Alligator mississippiensis: one gene and its partner. Each later gene encodes a partner of the first gene's protein in a complex. Links are inferred from orthologs where the notes say so. Each region holds a gene or a part of one and is shown on either strand. Other genes may lie near its edges.

The links. The genes of interacting proteins can lie anywhere in the genome.
Region 2: the proteins of HCN2 (region 1) and PEX5L are in contact, whole or in part, in a crystal structure (PDB 4EQF), measured with the Mus musculus proteins. The link is inferred for Alligator mississippiensis from reciprocal best matches to the Homo sapiens genes HCN2 and PEX5L. Residues at the interface, in NP_032252.1 of Mus musculus: Leu859, Ser860, Ser861, Asn862, Leu863; in NP_001156988.1 of Mus musculus: Glu315, Glu317, Val343, Asn347, His426, Asn453, Arg454, Ala457, Thr458, Ala460, Asn461, Tyr472, Arg484, Tyr487, Asn488, Ile491, Ile494, Ile537.

What each region holds. Positions count from the first base shown.
Region 1 is NC_081839.1:3,507,204-3,515,088, forward strand, and holds the start of HCN2 (potassium/sodium hyperpolarization-activated cyclic nucleotide-gated channel 2), read right to left. Parts: upstream 3,064-7,885; coding exon 2,627-3,063; intron 1-2,626. UniProt on the Homo sapiens protein: Hyperpolarization-activated ion channel that is permeable to sodium and potassium ions. Displays lower selectivity for K(+) over Na(+) ions. Contributes to the native pacemaker currents in heart (If) and in neurons (Ih).
Region 2 is NC_081830.1:80,679,850-80,686,867, forward strand, and holds the start of PEX5L (PEX5-related protein), read right to left. Parts: upstream 3,043-7,018; 5' UTR 3,013-3,042; coding exon 2,944-3,012; intron 1-2,943. UniProt on the Homo sapiens protein: Accessory subunit of hyperpolarization-activated cyclic nucleotide-gated (HCN) channels, regulating their cell-surface expression and cyclic nucleotide dependence.

The DNA of each region.
Region 1 (7,885 bases):
CTCAGGGAGATTCTCTGCCGCGCGCAGGGCCCCTTCGGCAAGCCAGACCCATGCCGTAAGGCACCCAGGGAGCAGGGCCTTATGTAGGCTTCCCATGGACGGCAGCGGGCACAGAAAAGCAGACCCCTGCCGGGCTGGGGGACATGACGGGGGACCGGGGATGGCCGAGTCAGGGATCCCAGATCCCCCGGCACCGAGCAGGGTGACCTCGGGCAACTACCTGCCCCTTGCCTTTGCAAGCTGCCTGGGGCCAGGCTCGGCTCTTTGCAGCTGTCTGCACAGCACCTGCTGGGGGAAGGCCCCGGCCGCGGCTGGCATGTCTGAGCGCCAGACCGCGGCAGGGACCATCAGTATTCCAAACAGATTCGCGCCGGTCTGGGCTGGCGAGCCGCTGAACCCCCCCACAGCTCATCAGACAGGAAGCAGCATCGTTAGGAGACTGAGACTGATCCGGTCCCTCCGGTCCCAGCCACGGGGGCAGCGCCAGGAGGACCCCGCTTCGGAGAGGAGAGGCTCTCTCCCGGTGCCTGCCGGCTCGGGGAGGTGTGGGGGGGGGAGCGCCGGGCCGGCTGCTACCGCCTGGATGCTTCCAGGAAGGCAGAGGCAGCCAAGGCAGGAGGAGAACGTGGTACCCAGAGCTCCCATGACAGCAGCATCCTCAGAGCCTGCCATGGGAAGCGTGGGCCTCACGGGGACGCAGGCCCAGCCAGCGGGGAGACAAGGCCCCCCCACTTTTAGGATTAGCATTACTGGGTGGGGGGGAGAAGGAAGAAGGAGCTTTGTATTTTTAAGCGCTGCAAAAAGCCTCGCGTCGCTGCGTCTCCCAACCAGCCCTTTGCCCTCAAGGAAGACACCAGCCCATTCCCCGAGCTCTCCCAGGGCTCAGACACAGGGAGGGTCTTCTGCCCCCGTCGTGCAGCTCCCGGAGGTTGCCCTCCACAACTGGGCATCTTTGCCACCCCCCCTGCCCAGCAGGACCAGAGGACCCCACCGCTAAAGCATGTCCGAGTCTGGACACCCAAAGCTGCTGCATCACGGCTGCCCGGGGCTCCCCTCCCCCCTCCAAGACAGGTTCTCCAAGCACCGACGGGCCCCCCCAACCCCAGCACCGCTGCACTGGAATTGGGAGCCTGGCTGGTGGGGCTCAGCCTCTGCCCAGCCAGCTCGGCCGAGGGTGGGGTTGCTCCTGCCCCTTGCAAGCTACATCCAGACCCTGGGGGCATCCCTACTGCCCCCGTCCTGGGGGGGGGTCCTCCTGCCAGGGGGCCAAGCTCAAGTTCAGTCTCTCCAGGATCTGGGCTATGGGGAAGGGACGTCCTTGGCAGAGCAAAGGGGTCGGGGCCTGCAGGGGGGCGGGGGGGGGAAAGAAGGCGCCTGGACCCAGCTGCTTCCCCGGCCCCCTCCCCCCCATCACTAGCGAGGAGGCTGCAGCCAGCATCTGGGCCGCTCCTCGCTCCTCCAACCTGCAGCCCCAGCTCAAGGTGCCCTCTCGGCTGCAGCCGGGCCTCGCCGCCCCTCCAGCCCCTCTGCCGGGTCTGCGGCTCCAGACCCTGCAGCCGCGGCCAGCACCGAGGGGCCCGAGGGGATCCGGAGCCCCCCAGCTGCCCCCCCTGCTTCCCGCTATGGGGCTGCAAGGACCACCCAGGAGGCAGCCCCCGCTCGGAGCCCATGGCAGCTCAGGGGCAGAATCACAGACCCCCCCCCCAGACCCTGCCGCTTTCCCAGACCCCCCCAGCGGGGGATGGCAGCAGCTGGGCCCCCTCCCCACTCCTCTGCCTCCCCCACCAGCACCTGGAGGGGGGACGGACCAGCCATGCCCCCCCACACACCTTGCAGGGGGCACTGATCCCCATCCCCACTTTCACCCTGGCCCTACAGGAGGGGGCTGAGCCAGGCTCCTACCACCCCTCCCCGCCAGCCTTGCAGAGCCAGGCCCACTCCCCGATCCTACACGGGGACTGGAGCCGGGCCCGATCCCTGGACTCCCAGCCTTGCAGCGGGCACCAAGCTGGGCTCCCCCATCTCCAAACCCCCAGGGCCTTGCTGAGGGCCCTGATCCTGCAGCCTCTACAGGGGGAATGGAGCCAGGCCTGATCCCTCATGACCCCCAGCCTTATAGTGGGGACCAGGACACACCCCTGCCCCGACCTTGCAGAAGGCCCCGGTCCCTGATCCGACAGCCCCTCCAGAGTGGGGACAGAGCCGGGCTCGATCCCTGACGACCCCCAGCCTTATCGTGGGAACCAAGCCGGGCTCCCCTCTTTAACCCCCCCACCTCCGAGCCTGGTTGCAGGAGCAGGGATGAGGCCCTCAGCCTCTACAGCGGGAAGGAAGCTGGGGCAGATCCCCGACGACCCCAGCCTTACAGAGGGGGGCAAGCGCAGCTCCCCACCCCGGCCGTGCCGAGGGCCCCGATCCCTGACCCTGCAGCCTGTCTGGGGTGCGGGGGAAGGATCCCCGATGACCCCCAGCCTTATAGCGGGCACCAAGCCAGGCTTCTCCCTCCGAGCCGTGCCGAGGGTCTGATCCCTGATGCTCTCCAGGGGCACCAGAGCCAGGCCGCGTGCCCGCTGCCCCCAGCCCCAGGGCGGGGACCACCCCGGCCCGATCCCGGCGCAGCCCGGACCTGAAGTCGCTGTAGGGGTGGATGATCCAGGCTCCGGCCGACTTGACGCGCTCCTGCTCGCGCTCCACCGCCTTCTGCGAGCCGAACATCCGCAGCGAGAACTTGTTGACGCCGGGCTGCAGCAGGGCGCCGAACTGCCGCTGCATGAAGCTGGCCTGGCTGCCCCGCGCCTCCTCCCCGGCCGCCTCGTCCGCCAGCCCCGCGCCCTCCTCGGCCGCCTTCTCCGACCCGCACGAGAACGACACCTTGGGCTCCCGCGGCGGCTCGGCCCCGGCCCCGCTGCACTGCGGCTCCCCGCGCCGGCACTCGCCGTTCGGCGAGCCCTTGCCCGCCCGCCCGCCCATGCTGCCGCCCCGCAGCCGCCGCTGCGCGCCCCGCCGGGCCGCCTCGTCCTCGCCCTCGCCCTCGCCCGCCTCCCGCTCCTCCGCGCCCCGCATGCTGCAGCGCCAGCCCGGCCGGGCCCGACCCGCGCCGCCCCGCCCGCCCGCCCGCGGGAGGAGCCGGGGCCGGGGCGGAGCCCGGATCGGGGCCGCCGCTGGGGCTCGGCGGCTTTCTTGGGGGCCAGAATAAACGTCATCTGCCCAGAGAGAGACACACACAGAAAGGTTGTGTTCCCCTGCCCCGTCGCGCCACTGCGCCCGACCCCGACCCCGACCCCGTGTCTGCACGGACACACGCACCTCCCGGGCACCGAGCTCGTCCCGAGCCACCACTGCCGCCTCGGCCCGCACAGCATGCATCTCCGTCTAGATCTACATCGATCTGTATATAGAGATAGATACAGATAGATATAGATATATCTTTATCTATCGATCGATCGATAAAGATCTCTCTCTCTATATATATATAGAGAGAGAGATCTTTATCTATAGATAGATAGATAGATAAAGATATATCTATAGATATAGATAGATATACACATGATCTAGTCACTGATCAATGGTTAATGCCTCCTTCCCCCATATCTATGTATACACACACCTTCTGGTCACTGATCACTGCTTCCTTGACCCATATAAAGACATATAAAGGTTGTATAAACATGTACACACACTCACATATCTATCTATCTATCTATCTATCTATCTATCTATCTATCTACACACACACACACACATATACACATACACACAGTCTAGTCACCAATCATTGCCTCCTTAACCCACCAGTGACTGGTCACCCATGGTCACTGCCCTTGCCCCATATCTACGTATACATACACCCCTTCTGGTCACTGATCACTGCCTCCTTAACCCATATAAAGGTTGTATATACATGTATACACACACACACGTGTATATATATATATATATATATATATATATATATATATACACACACACACATAAGCGTGCACATATATACACACACATACACACAGTCTAGTCACCGATCATTGCCTCCTTAACCCACCAGTGACTGGTCACCCATGGTCACTGCCCTTGCCCCGTATCTACGTATACACACACACCTTCTGCTCACTGATCGTTGTCTCCTTGACCCACCGTAGGAACCCACCAGCCGTTACAATCCTCGCACCCGTGGAAAGGCAGGCCCGTCTGCAAGGCATCGTCTCCCTACAGCCCCTGGCCTCTTAGTCCCGTCCCCAACGAAGGGGTTGCAAACTCATTTCACCCACTGGAGGACTGTCTTCCGATTTGGTTGTCTCAAGGTCCTCTTCGCTGTGTGTTTCCCCACTGGGGCAGGGGTCTTGAAAGATCCTGTGCCAAGTGTCGCTCTGCCAGGTGGATTTAGCTGCGTCCTCACTGTCGTCTGGGCCTCTGGTGCTTTTTGCTTTGGACCCCATGGTGTGGGTGAGAGGGGCCCAGACAGGCTGTGACAGGCCAGGCTCAGGGCAAGGGACTTGCCTCTCTCTGGACTTCCCCTGATACATCACAAGACTGCAGGCAAAATGGGGGGTTCAGCCTGGCCTTTCTCCATTGACAACCCCCCCAACCCTGCACAAGCCGTGTCTTTCCACAGGCTTGGGACCTGCAAGAGCATCCAGGACAGGCCTAACAAGGGGTTGGTGGATCTGGCCCCCTGTGTCACCTTCCCCCTGCCTGGAGTGGCAGCAAAAATAGGGGCAGAAGGTGCGGGGCGTCATGGAGGGCACTGCAGAGCCCCCCTCTGCACCCACTCTCTGCGGGTGACTCCCGGGGTAGTCTCCAGGGTCTGAGCTCTGTTACTTATCCTTGTCTCTTGGACCGGGTCAGCGGTACCCAGATGCAAAGGTAAGTCCCTGCATTTCATCTCAGCATCTGCATGCACCTTGGACCCATCGTCTTCTCCCCGAGCTCTGAACCCAGCTTGCGGTCTCCCTCTGCCCCCAGCTGTGGAGGCTGCGGAGATCTACGATGGTGGAACAGCCCCCTTCCACTGCAAGACCAAGTGCATTCCTGTGTCCATCACAGCTACCAGTTGCCATCGCTGCCGGGAGTGCTGCACACCCCTGTCCGGCTGGGGAGAGCAGGGAACTGCCACCACCAGCCTCGAGACAAGACCCTGCTCATGGGGCGCCCTGCTTCTCCCTGCCTGGGCTCTCCGTGCCCCCAGGGGGCTGCAGACGCCGTCCAGAAGTTGGCAATGAATGGCATTCTGGACAGTGCAGGGAGCGGCAGTGCCCGACCCGCGGGGTGCTGTTTCCATCAGTAGTCTTCAGCCTGGTTTTGATAGCTGGGGACACTGAGGCAGAGAGCGAGTCAAAGGGGCTAGCCGGTGGCCACCCAGGAAGCGCATCGCAGGGCCTCTCCTCCTGGCCGGGGCACTCTCCATTTGGCAATGCTGCCTCTCAACAGCCATTGCTGCGTTGGCTGCAGGGAGGCCTGGGGCAGATGTCATCCACCTACCACAGCTGTTTGCAATTCATCCTGTGCCCAGCGGGCAGCTCCAATCCCAAAGAAAAGGGGTCCCATGTAGCCCCAGAGCCGACCTGCAGGCACCAGCCACCCCAGGGGGCGAATTTCTGCCCTCCCAGACCTGAAACCAACCTCCCACCTCCAGCTGCCGGTTCCTGGCCCGTGCTGGCTTGGAAGGGCGATGAAGAGCTCCATTTCTTTGGCTCTGCCCTACTCATTCGTTAATGGGCTCGAAGGATTAATGAGATGATTGTTTTCCCTCCTTCTTGGAGAGAGCCATGGCCAGGATGCTGAGTCAAACTCCAGATCACGGCGCACATTCCTAGACGGCTTCCTACGTTCGCCGCACTCCTCGCTTACGAGCGATAGTTATAGATTCATCTCGCTGAGCAGCCAGGCTTCGGATCCAGTCCAGCCTCCGGCTGCGGGAAGGATCAACCCGGTCCAAATTATCCCAGACAAGTGCCCGTCTGCCCTTGTTCTAAAACAATCCTGCCGCCCAACGGCGCTGGGGACTCGCCAGCCTCCGTGGTTTTGCTGTGCAGATGTACCCGACATGGCTCACGTGTCTTTGTGGCTCCTGCTGGCCCAGGGCCGTCTGCTGCAGTGTTCTCCTGCCTGCAGAGGGGTTGGGATGAAAAGGGACTCGCCCAAGGCCTCTGTGGGAAGTCGGTGGCAGAGTCAGAATGAGACTCTCCCACCATTGCCCGTTATAAGCCCCTCCAGTGCCACCTTCTTAGGTCTCTGGGAATGGGGCCTGATCCTCCCCGTGGGCTCTGGGCACAGCGGGATAACAGAGGACAAGCGAATGTCAGGCGCCTGGTGATGACAGGCAGAGTCGGGTTCGTGTTGCACTCCCCTGTCCGAGATCAGAGCCTCTTAGCACCAGTCACCTGCGGAGCGCACCTCCCCAGGGCACCAGGTGCCAGGCAGTCGGCTGGAGGAGGGACAGGGCCCCGGCCACACATGAAGTGGGGCTGGGGAGTGCAATCCCAATGCTGCATCCCAAATTACTCCCTGCTCTTCAGGCCCAGGGGCTGCCGGGCTGGGCATGGTGGGCGGGAGAAGTGACTCACCATCCCGGATCCCCCCACGTTGCAGGCACTCCTGGCACCGCGCGAGACACGTCTCGGGGGATGTCGTGCCTGTGTCAACCCTCCCATGGGCTGATCCCTGGAGGGAGATCAAAGCCTACTCCTGCAGGGGTGATGGAGCCAGCCTGGCCTGCCCAGCAGCAAGGCTGGGGGAAGGGGAGGGCAGGGGCATCAGCCTGGCACTGCCACTGAGCTGCTAGAGACAGGGGATGGCACAAGGGTGCAGCCTTCCTGCTAGAGGAGCTGCGGGGGCTTAGAGCCAGCCAGGAGGCCAGCTACTTACCCCTTCTTGGGGTACCTGGGTATCTTCCCCTCCCTGGAAAGCAGGCAGGACTTTCCCCCTCCATTACAAAGGGTAACAAGTTGCAGAGGGAGGGGGCCAGATAGCAAGAGGAAGAGGGGTTGCAAGGCAGTCAAGTGAGCCGGGGCAACAGCAGCCTGGGCCCCCAAGCACACACCAGGGACCAGGGCACAGCTACCACCATCCCCCTTCCTCTTGCTGAGGGGAGGCAGCCTAAGGGACTTGCCCAAGGAGCCCCAGGAAATCGGTGGCAGAGCAGGCTGGGAGCTGGAGCAGGCACTGGGCTGGCTTTATTGATGCCTGCAAGAGAGCGGCCCAAGCGTGCAGTCTAGCACGGGCAGTGTTCTCTGCATGGGGCTAGGCTGGGACCCCAGCCCTTCTCACCTGTTCCCTGCCTCAGTTTCCCCATCTGTGCTAGGAGGATAAACACGCAAACTCTGCATCTTGGTGACAGCAGCCCAGCATTTACCTTATACCACGAGCAGCACGTCTGCCAAGTGGCCCCAAATGAGCCCGGCAGCCAGAGTCCCCGACAGGATCAGGGCAGGGAAGGATGAGCCTTGCCTCACATCTGGCAGCAACACGGGGAAGACGTCCCTGGAGTCCCAGCCCAAGACACCCCACGGCGGAAAAGGCAGAGGTCAGTGGAACAAGCGGGCACCACAGTTGCCCACCAAGGTCCGGCGCCGCCCCACGGACCCACCCGTGTGTCATCCTGGGGGCATCTCAGAGCCGCCTCCCCATGCACCAAGGCAGCTGCTAACATACCAGGAGTTTCCCTGCCAGGGACCAGAGCCCAGCCAGGGCCATCTCCCTCCTGCCCTCCCACCCGCTGGTGGCTGGACGGAGCTTGCAAGGGCTGGACCGAACCCTTCCTGCCATTGCTGCAGATGGTCACAGGCTCCCAGCTCTGCTCCCGGGGCTCCTCCTCTGCCTCCCAGCGCCGCAGGACGAACCTGAAACCAGGGATATAAATATCCTGCTGCGAGATCTCATTGCTCCTGGT
Region 2 (7,018 bases), on another chromosome or scaffold:
AGTCCAGCCCTCTGCTCAAGACAGGATTATCCCTGACTAGGCCATTCTAACCAGGTGTCTGTCTCATCTGCATACCCCACACATTTCAATTCTGAACAGAATAGAGTAAATTGATTTCCACAAATAATTTGGCATTTTTTTCCTGGGGGTGAATCATTGATAAGCAATCTGTGTCATTCTAAGATTTGTGCACTGTTCAGAAGAGTGAATTTCTTGATAGATAGCTCCAGATCATTGCTAACTACAAAATCTCATGCCTCTCTAAACCAGTTAGTTTCTAATGTGCCACCTGGCCCTGCTTTCTGCCCAAGTTCAGAATAACTACCTCTCTTTACATCATTTGTGATCATTTGCTTGAGACTATTAAAAAATGGTACTTTTGGTCAGTTTCTAATCATGTGCTATCGTTACTATTCTGAGAGAATAAATGCTCTGATTCAGTAAAATACTCACAGGATATTCCTGTTCAGCAAAGCGTTTCCCTGTTCAACAAGCCAGTTCGTTATGTCTAGGGACCTACCTAAACTGGCGAGAGAAAGCAGTTTGCTTCCTCAGTCAAGCACATGGTGGGTCCTACTTTATGAAGCATGTTGTGCAGGGTGGTGGAGGTGGTTTGTATTTTGTGCATGATAAAAACAGCTGAGTCGGATTAACCAGGAATTTCATGTATTTCCCTCTGTGCCTCTTTGTGGAAGTCAGTTCGCATGTAGATTGACCACTGAGTTTAATGGGAATTGCACAGCAAAAGGAGGCTGCACGATCAGGCCCCTAATGCATTTTATGACATCTTGTGGTAGGTGTCACAGGTATAACTATTACACAATTTTATAGCATTCTTCAGTGCTGATTTCACTGTGATTATTAGGTGATGACTCTAGCAAGATAGTCTGTTGATCTGAAATTTATCTGACATGAATTTGTCCGTGACCAATGCATGCTTAACGATTATTTCTATTAGATAGGTGTTTTGCACTTTTTGTGAGCTGCAGCCACATCCATCTATCTCTTCATATGAAGAATTCAGACAGACATATGAATGGTGAAGGCTGAATGTATTTCCAGTATTGTAATACTTTATTCTGGGTGAATGGGCTGAGCAAGAGGTTTAGGCAGACACTAAAAACACAACCATTTGCAAACACTGTTACATCCAATTAGGATATGAGTGATAGACGTGATATGATCATATAGTACACATCACACATACATGATATAGAGGTGACTATGGAAAATACTCACTTTTCACTTGATTCTGCTTCCTTTTGGCTTGTGCACACCATTGGTGCATAGCAGGGAAGTAGGTACTTGTGTTTAGTGGAAGAAATTTATGCTCACAGACACAAGCATTTTACTTAGAATAATTGTCACAGACTACTGCTGAGTAAATTGACAGACAAGCAATACAATGATGCATCAAACATTTTATGAATCTAGGTTGAACTCTCAGCCTTGTTGAAATCAATGGTAATTGTGCCATTGACCTCAGTAGGGCCAGGGTTTCACTCCTGGCTTCTAATACTTGTGATTCATAAGTTGGTTAGTGCAAAACTAGAATATGATGCATTAAACCAAGCATCCTATTCCCTCATGCAACCATGTTTTAACTAATGCAAGAAATTACAAGTATAACACAAGTGTTTCGACAGGGGTCTGGGAGGAAATTGACAGACGTGACTTAAAAATATAGGAAAATTTCATCAATGAAAACTTCTATTGCTAATTATTGAAGTATTATAATACAAATGCTATCCATAAGGCAAACTTGCGCTAGCGTTTTACACGTAACATATTTGGAATAATAATTACAGTGCAAAAGGAAGAATAAAGTGTTTGGGATTTTTTTTGAAGATGATTATTTTCTTAAGAATAACCACACTACTAAACCTATTGTTGAATATGAATAAATCATGTACTCGTATTTTACATATTAAGAATCAAATGAAGGAATTATATTACAGTCTATTACTATAGACATCACTGAGAAAAATATTGCTAAATTTACACCATTGCTAGGATTCTGTAACCCCTCGTGGAATTTTTTTGTATCATCTAGTTCAGATGTGTTTTATGTTAGTGTTATTTTGGTTACTCATAACACTTTCTTGTGAAACAAAAGTGCATGTCTGCAACAGCTGGGAGTAACAACCAGTGCTACAGTGAACTGAGGTTTTCATTATTCAGTGTTAGTCTTTCACTGTCTGCAATAAGCTAATAAAAAGACTTTAATGCTCCTCAGTGGTTCTGACTGCCAAGTTTCAGGAAATGGAACCAAGTCCTTGAATCGACTAGCTTTACAAAAATGAAAGCAATGAAATGTGTAAATTCTGTTCTAATTGAAATGTGTCTTACATGTTAGTGAAAACTTTCAGAAGGGAGCTGATGTACGGGATTTAAAAACGATGCTAGGTGCAGTGAAGTGGTTGTTACTTATTGTATGTGTGAATGCTTAGAGTATGTGACAGCACGAGTAATACTTGACATCTTAAATCAATTGTAGATGCTCTACTGGTAACTGACATGTGTCTGCTGTACTTCCTAAAAAAAAAAATTTGGTTAGAGGATTTGGATTTGTGTTCATTTTTTCCTTGTTCAAACTTCCAAAGCACAGGTTTAATATTGCACAGCTATGTTTTTTCAGTCATACTTTATCGTGAAACAACATTTGTTGACTTACATTTCGTACAAAACATTTTTTTCTAAAGGCTTAAGCTCCAGTAGAGTCACTACAACTAAAATATACCAATTGCAAAACTAAACAATGAATAAAGGGTTTTCCCCACGTTTGGGTAACATTTCATCATCATTGGTCTTTTTCAGGGAAAACTATAATTGCCTATTAAATTTGACTCAAGAATGGCAATGGCTTTGCTGCTCACTTTAATTACATTCTCCATTAGATTAACATATGTCAGCTGCCTCCTGGAATCCTAGCATTCTGCCCACCTGTGATGTCATAGTAAGGAGGGGCTTTTCCTCTGCAGACTCCTCCCTCGGTATCTCCTTCATCACCATGGCAACAGCCTTATCTGCCGCCCTAGAGCCTTTCCCCTACAACAGTGAAATCAACAATGGCTTGTGTCAGGAGGAAACTTTTTATTACTGATCACAAAATATATACCCCAGAACAATCCGTTAATTAAATGACGGTGTTAAGTGCTGGAAGTAAAGCTTTTAGAAAATAAAATACACAAACACTGTAAAAAAAAAATATATATATCCATGAACCTGTTAAATAATGATTGTGACGGGGCCTAACTCTGTAGCCTTTGCTCATATGAGCTGCCCCACTGAAGTAGATCGTGCCTGCACGTCGCCCTGATCATGCGAGGCCTTTTGGGAATACTTCAGAGAGAGTCGAACGATTTGAGCATCTCATAGGGTTGAGCCCCCACATAAATAGGATCTGCGGGATCGGGCCCTTGATTTGTTCACTGCAAAGTAACTGTGGTTAACTGAAATTTCACAGCTGATCTACACCAGGATAAGCTTTCTACTAAAATGAGAGCTTGCACTGCATTTCCAAATAAAGGGACAGATCCTTGTGGTTTGTTTTCTCTGGCAAACTTTCCTTGACATTAAGTGGAAATTCAGGTTGTAGGACTGGGTTGAAAGTGTTATACAGGCCCAGAGCTTTTAAAATCTTTTATTTGAAATATTTTTTATAAAGTAGGTTACATGTCATAAGCAAGGTCATGGCTTCATTTATAGAGCCTAAGGAGCCATATTCTGTTATCTTTGACGGTGGGGTAAATGTCACTGAAAGCAGTAATTGATAGCGATACAGAATATGGCAGAAAGGATTTTTTTTTACATGACAGGTTTTTTTAAATGCACTGGACTTTAAGTATTGAGAGGACGTTAAAGTTCTTAAAATGAGAAAAATGATAAGACCTAAATCAAATAAATCTATTAATTTTTTTGAAAGATGCTAGGGCTCTGAGGCATCCATCTTACAGAGATACAAAGTGCAGGCACATACCTGCAGACTTAAGAGGAAGAACATACGTGAAGTGTATAAAGCCTTAAAATTTGGAGAACAGAAATAGAAATCTTTACTGGCTTTTAAAAATTCCAGGCTTTTGAGTTTTTAAGAATCAAATATGTACTCCCACTGACTACTTTGGGAATTGGATCTGGCCCCAAATCATTATAGGCCAATTTTCTTTAGTCTGTGTTTTGCAGAAGCATAACCTACTAAAATAAAAGTTTGAGTCTCTTTAAGTATTAAAAACTTAAGAGCAAAATTTTCCTTTTGGATCAGTTTGACAGATAGTGGACCTCTGCTGCTCTGCTCTCCTTATAGGCTCAAACAAATGTCAATAGGTGTCTTCAGTGTGCTGGTAGAGCAGAATAGCAGAGTTGAATTTTCTTTGTGACTCAGCTAGGGTATGCGCTCACTGTTCTTACCCTCACAAAACTCCCATTGAAATCAGTGGGAAACTGGGATGCACAAAGACTACAGAATCTGGCTCCATGGCAACAACATTTTATTATAAGCTTAACTATATTTCATTAACTAAGAGCCTTATTAGATTTTTCATTGAAGCACTGTTCAGGGAAGGATACTGTTTATTAACACTGAACTACATAATGTAGCTCTTAAAATCAGAAATACTGTATTCTCTAGTCCAGCAATGAGAATGTACTTAACATTGCAATTTAACAACAGTTGAATGATCAAAACAATGGCAAATGAGCTTTTTTGTGCAACATATCACAGTCACCCTATGGAGAGGTCTTTGCATGCTGCAAGAAGTTCTCATTCCGCGTCATTAAACATAGGCATGCTACATTTATGATTCCTTTGATATCCAAAGAATGGCAAAAGACGCTGCAAAACTGGTTTGGAATCGTTTGATGAGAACTAAGTTCCAATTGCTAAGCATATCAAAGGTTTTGGCCAAATCTTGATGTACTCTGTTCACAATCCATTATGGTAAGTTACAATTCCATGAAGATATTTTCTCATGATATGTGGAACAACTATTCAGCTAGGACTAGTAACATGCTACCTGACTTTCAGAAAATTCAGTCCTTTCGTACTGAATGCTAGAACGAAGAAGGTTATCAGCTAGAATGGATGCATAGGAAAGCATGCAGTGCTTTTTATTTCTTGTGCAGAAGAAACCCACCAAAGCAAAGGTCAGGTCACTTTTTTGAAGACAGAGCCACTTTTTCTTCAAGGTTTCACCTACTGCCTGAAAAGAGTCATGATACTTGCATTAGTGCCTGCTATCAATTTTTTAAAATATAACCCTGTGGGTGGTTGATACACACCATGTGTCTTATCACTTCGAAGGACAGAAATTACACATAAACTGGAATAAGTGATCGGAAACTAGTTTAAATCCGTAACACAACAGAAGTTCAGTGGACATAAACCTCTTGCAAGATGGCCACAAGCATTTTAAGATGAACCTGGACGGTTGTAGTATCAGACTTAACTGATTTAGGTTAAATCAGTTGATTGAACTTCTGTCCCAGATCCCCTCCAGATTCAAGTTAACTTACAGTCCCCCAGCATCCCAGGATGCTTTGCACCTCTCCCACAAACCCTCCCTTACACGGTGGGCAGGTGGCCAAGCTGTCTGCTTCAGCCAAGCAGGAAGGTTTGCTCTAGTGCCCCCCATGCTTCTGTTTATTTGCTTATCACTTCAAATGATACATTTTAGATTAACCAGTGAGGATTTAATCGATTCAGCCTTGGGATTTTTGACTGTCTCTACTTAGCCTAAAACCCTGGCCATAGTTACAACAGCAATTTAATGAGAATAACATCTTGGGAGACTATATTTCTTTACCCTTAGTGACTTTGTATCACATTTGCTATGTTTGCAAATCAAAAGAAAACATTTCAAATGAGCTGCAACATGGACAGAGTATATGTGAACCAAGCTAATTTATAATGGACAAATTAATGATGCACAATAACAATTTTGGAATCAGAACTTATCTGGCAACGAACTTAATCCTAGGAAAGGAAGACTACAATACAGCAGCTAAAATCTCCAGGGGTTTTAGCGGGTGGAAATGAAGGTACTCAGTACCTCTGACAGTCCAGTCACCAATTCACATCCCTGAAGAGAGGTGTTGGTGCCTAATACTTGTATGAATTTTTGTGTATTCTAAAGTGTTGCCTGTCTGTTAAATTTGGCATCAGTACCTCCGTTGGCAGGAGCGTGGGGCAGAAGTTAGACTGCGTCTGGCATGTAGGTGGGCAAGTCTATCCTCTCTGCAACACAAACAGTTTGTGAACTGCATCTGAAATAGTTATCTGTCGAGTTCTCGTGATGGCAGTCCAAATACAATGATTGCTGGAACCAAACTCAGGGAAGAAGTGTGTTTACAAATGCACACTGCTTATTTACTTGGCTGCCTTCATTGTGCAGCACTGTGTCTCAGCAGTTTGGCTTGCTGTATGTATTTTGCCTGTTACGTTAGCTTGGTGCTCAAACACTGTAATTCTGAAACAGCTCACTTGGCATGTGCCAGTTCCACATAATGAACAGTTACTCAAAAACCCGAGGTAAATTAATTTGTTATATATGTAGCATTTTGATAACTCCGTGAATGAGTTTCACAAATACCTCTTTTGTCTGCAGTGTGCATGATGATGCGGAACATGCAAAACTGCATATCAAGCAAGGATAGCGCCGAGAATGAAATGGTGTAAGGAAAAGGTATGACTGGTTTTCATACAATATGCTGTGGCAGTCACATTGAGTAACATGTCTGTGCTTTGTTATCTGCTACAACTAACACTGAGCCATTCCTTTTAGGAGGCATCTCCAAAAAAAGATAAGCAAAAGAGTTTAAAGTATTTCCTCCACACACTGAGGTCAGTGAAAAGCTTGCTACCAAAATCTTCAGGTTCATTTTCAGGTCTGAGAGAATCAATAGCAATAGTCATTTCTGCAAGGATGTGAAAACATCTGCAAACCCACCCTGGCGGATTCTTTAGGGGAATATACTATATGCTGTTTTAACAGCTGGTGTTTCTGAATGGCGCCAAAGTAAA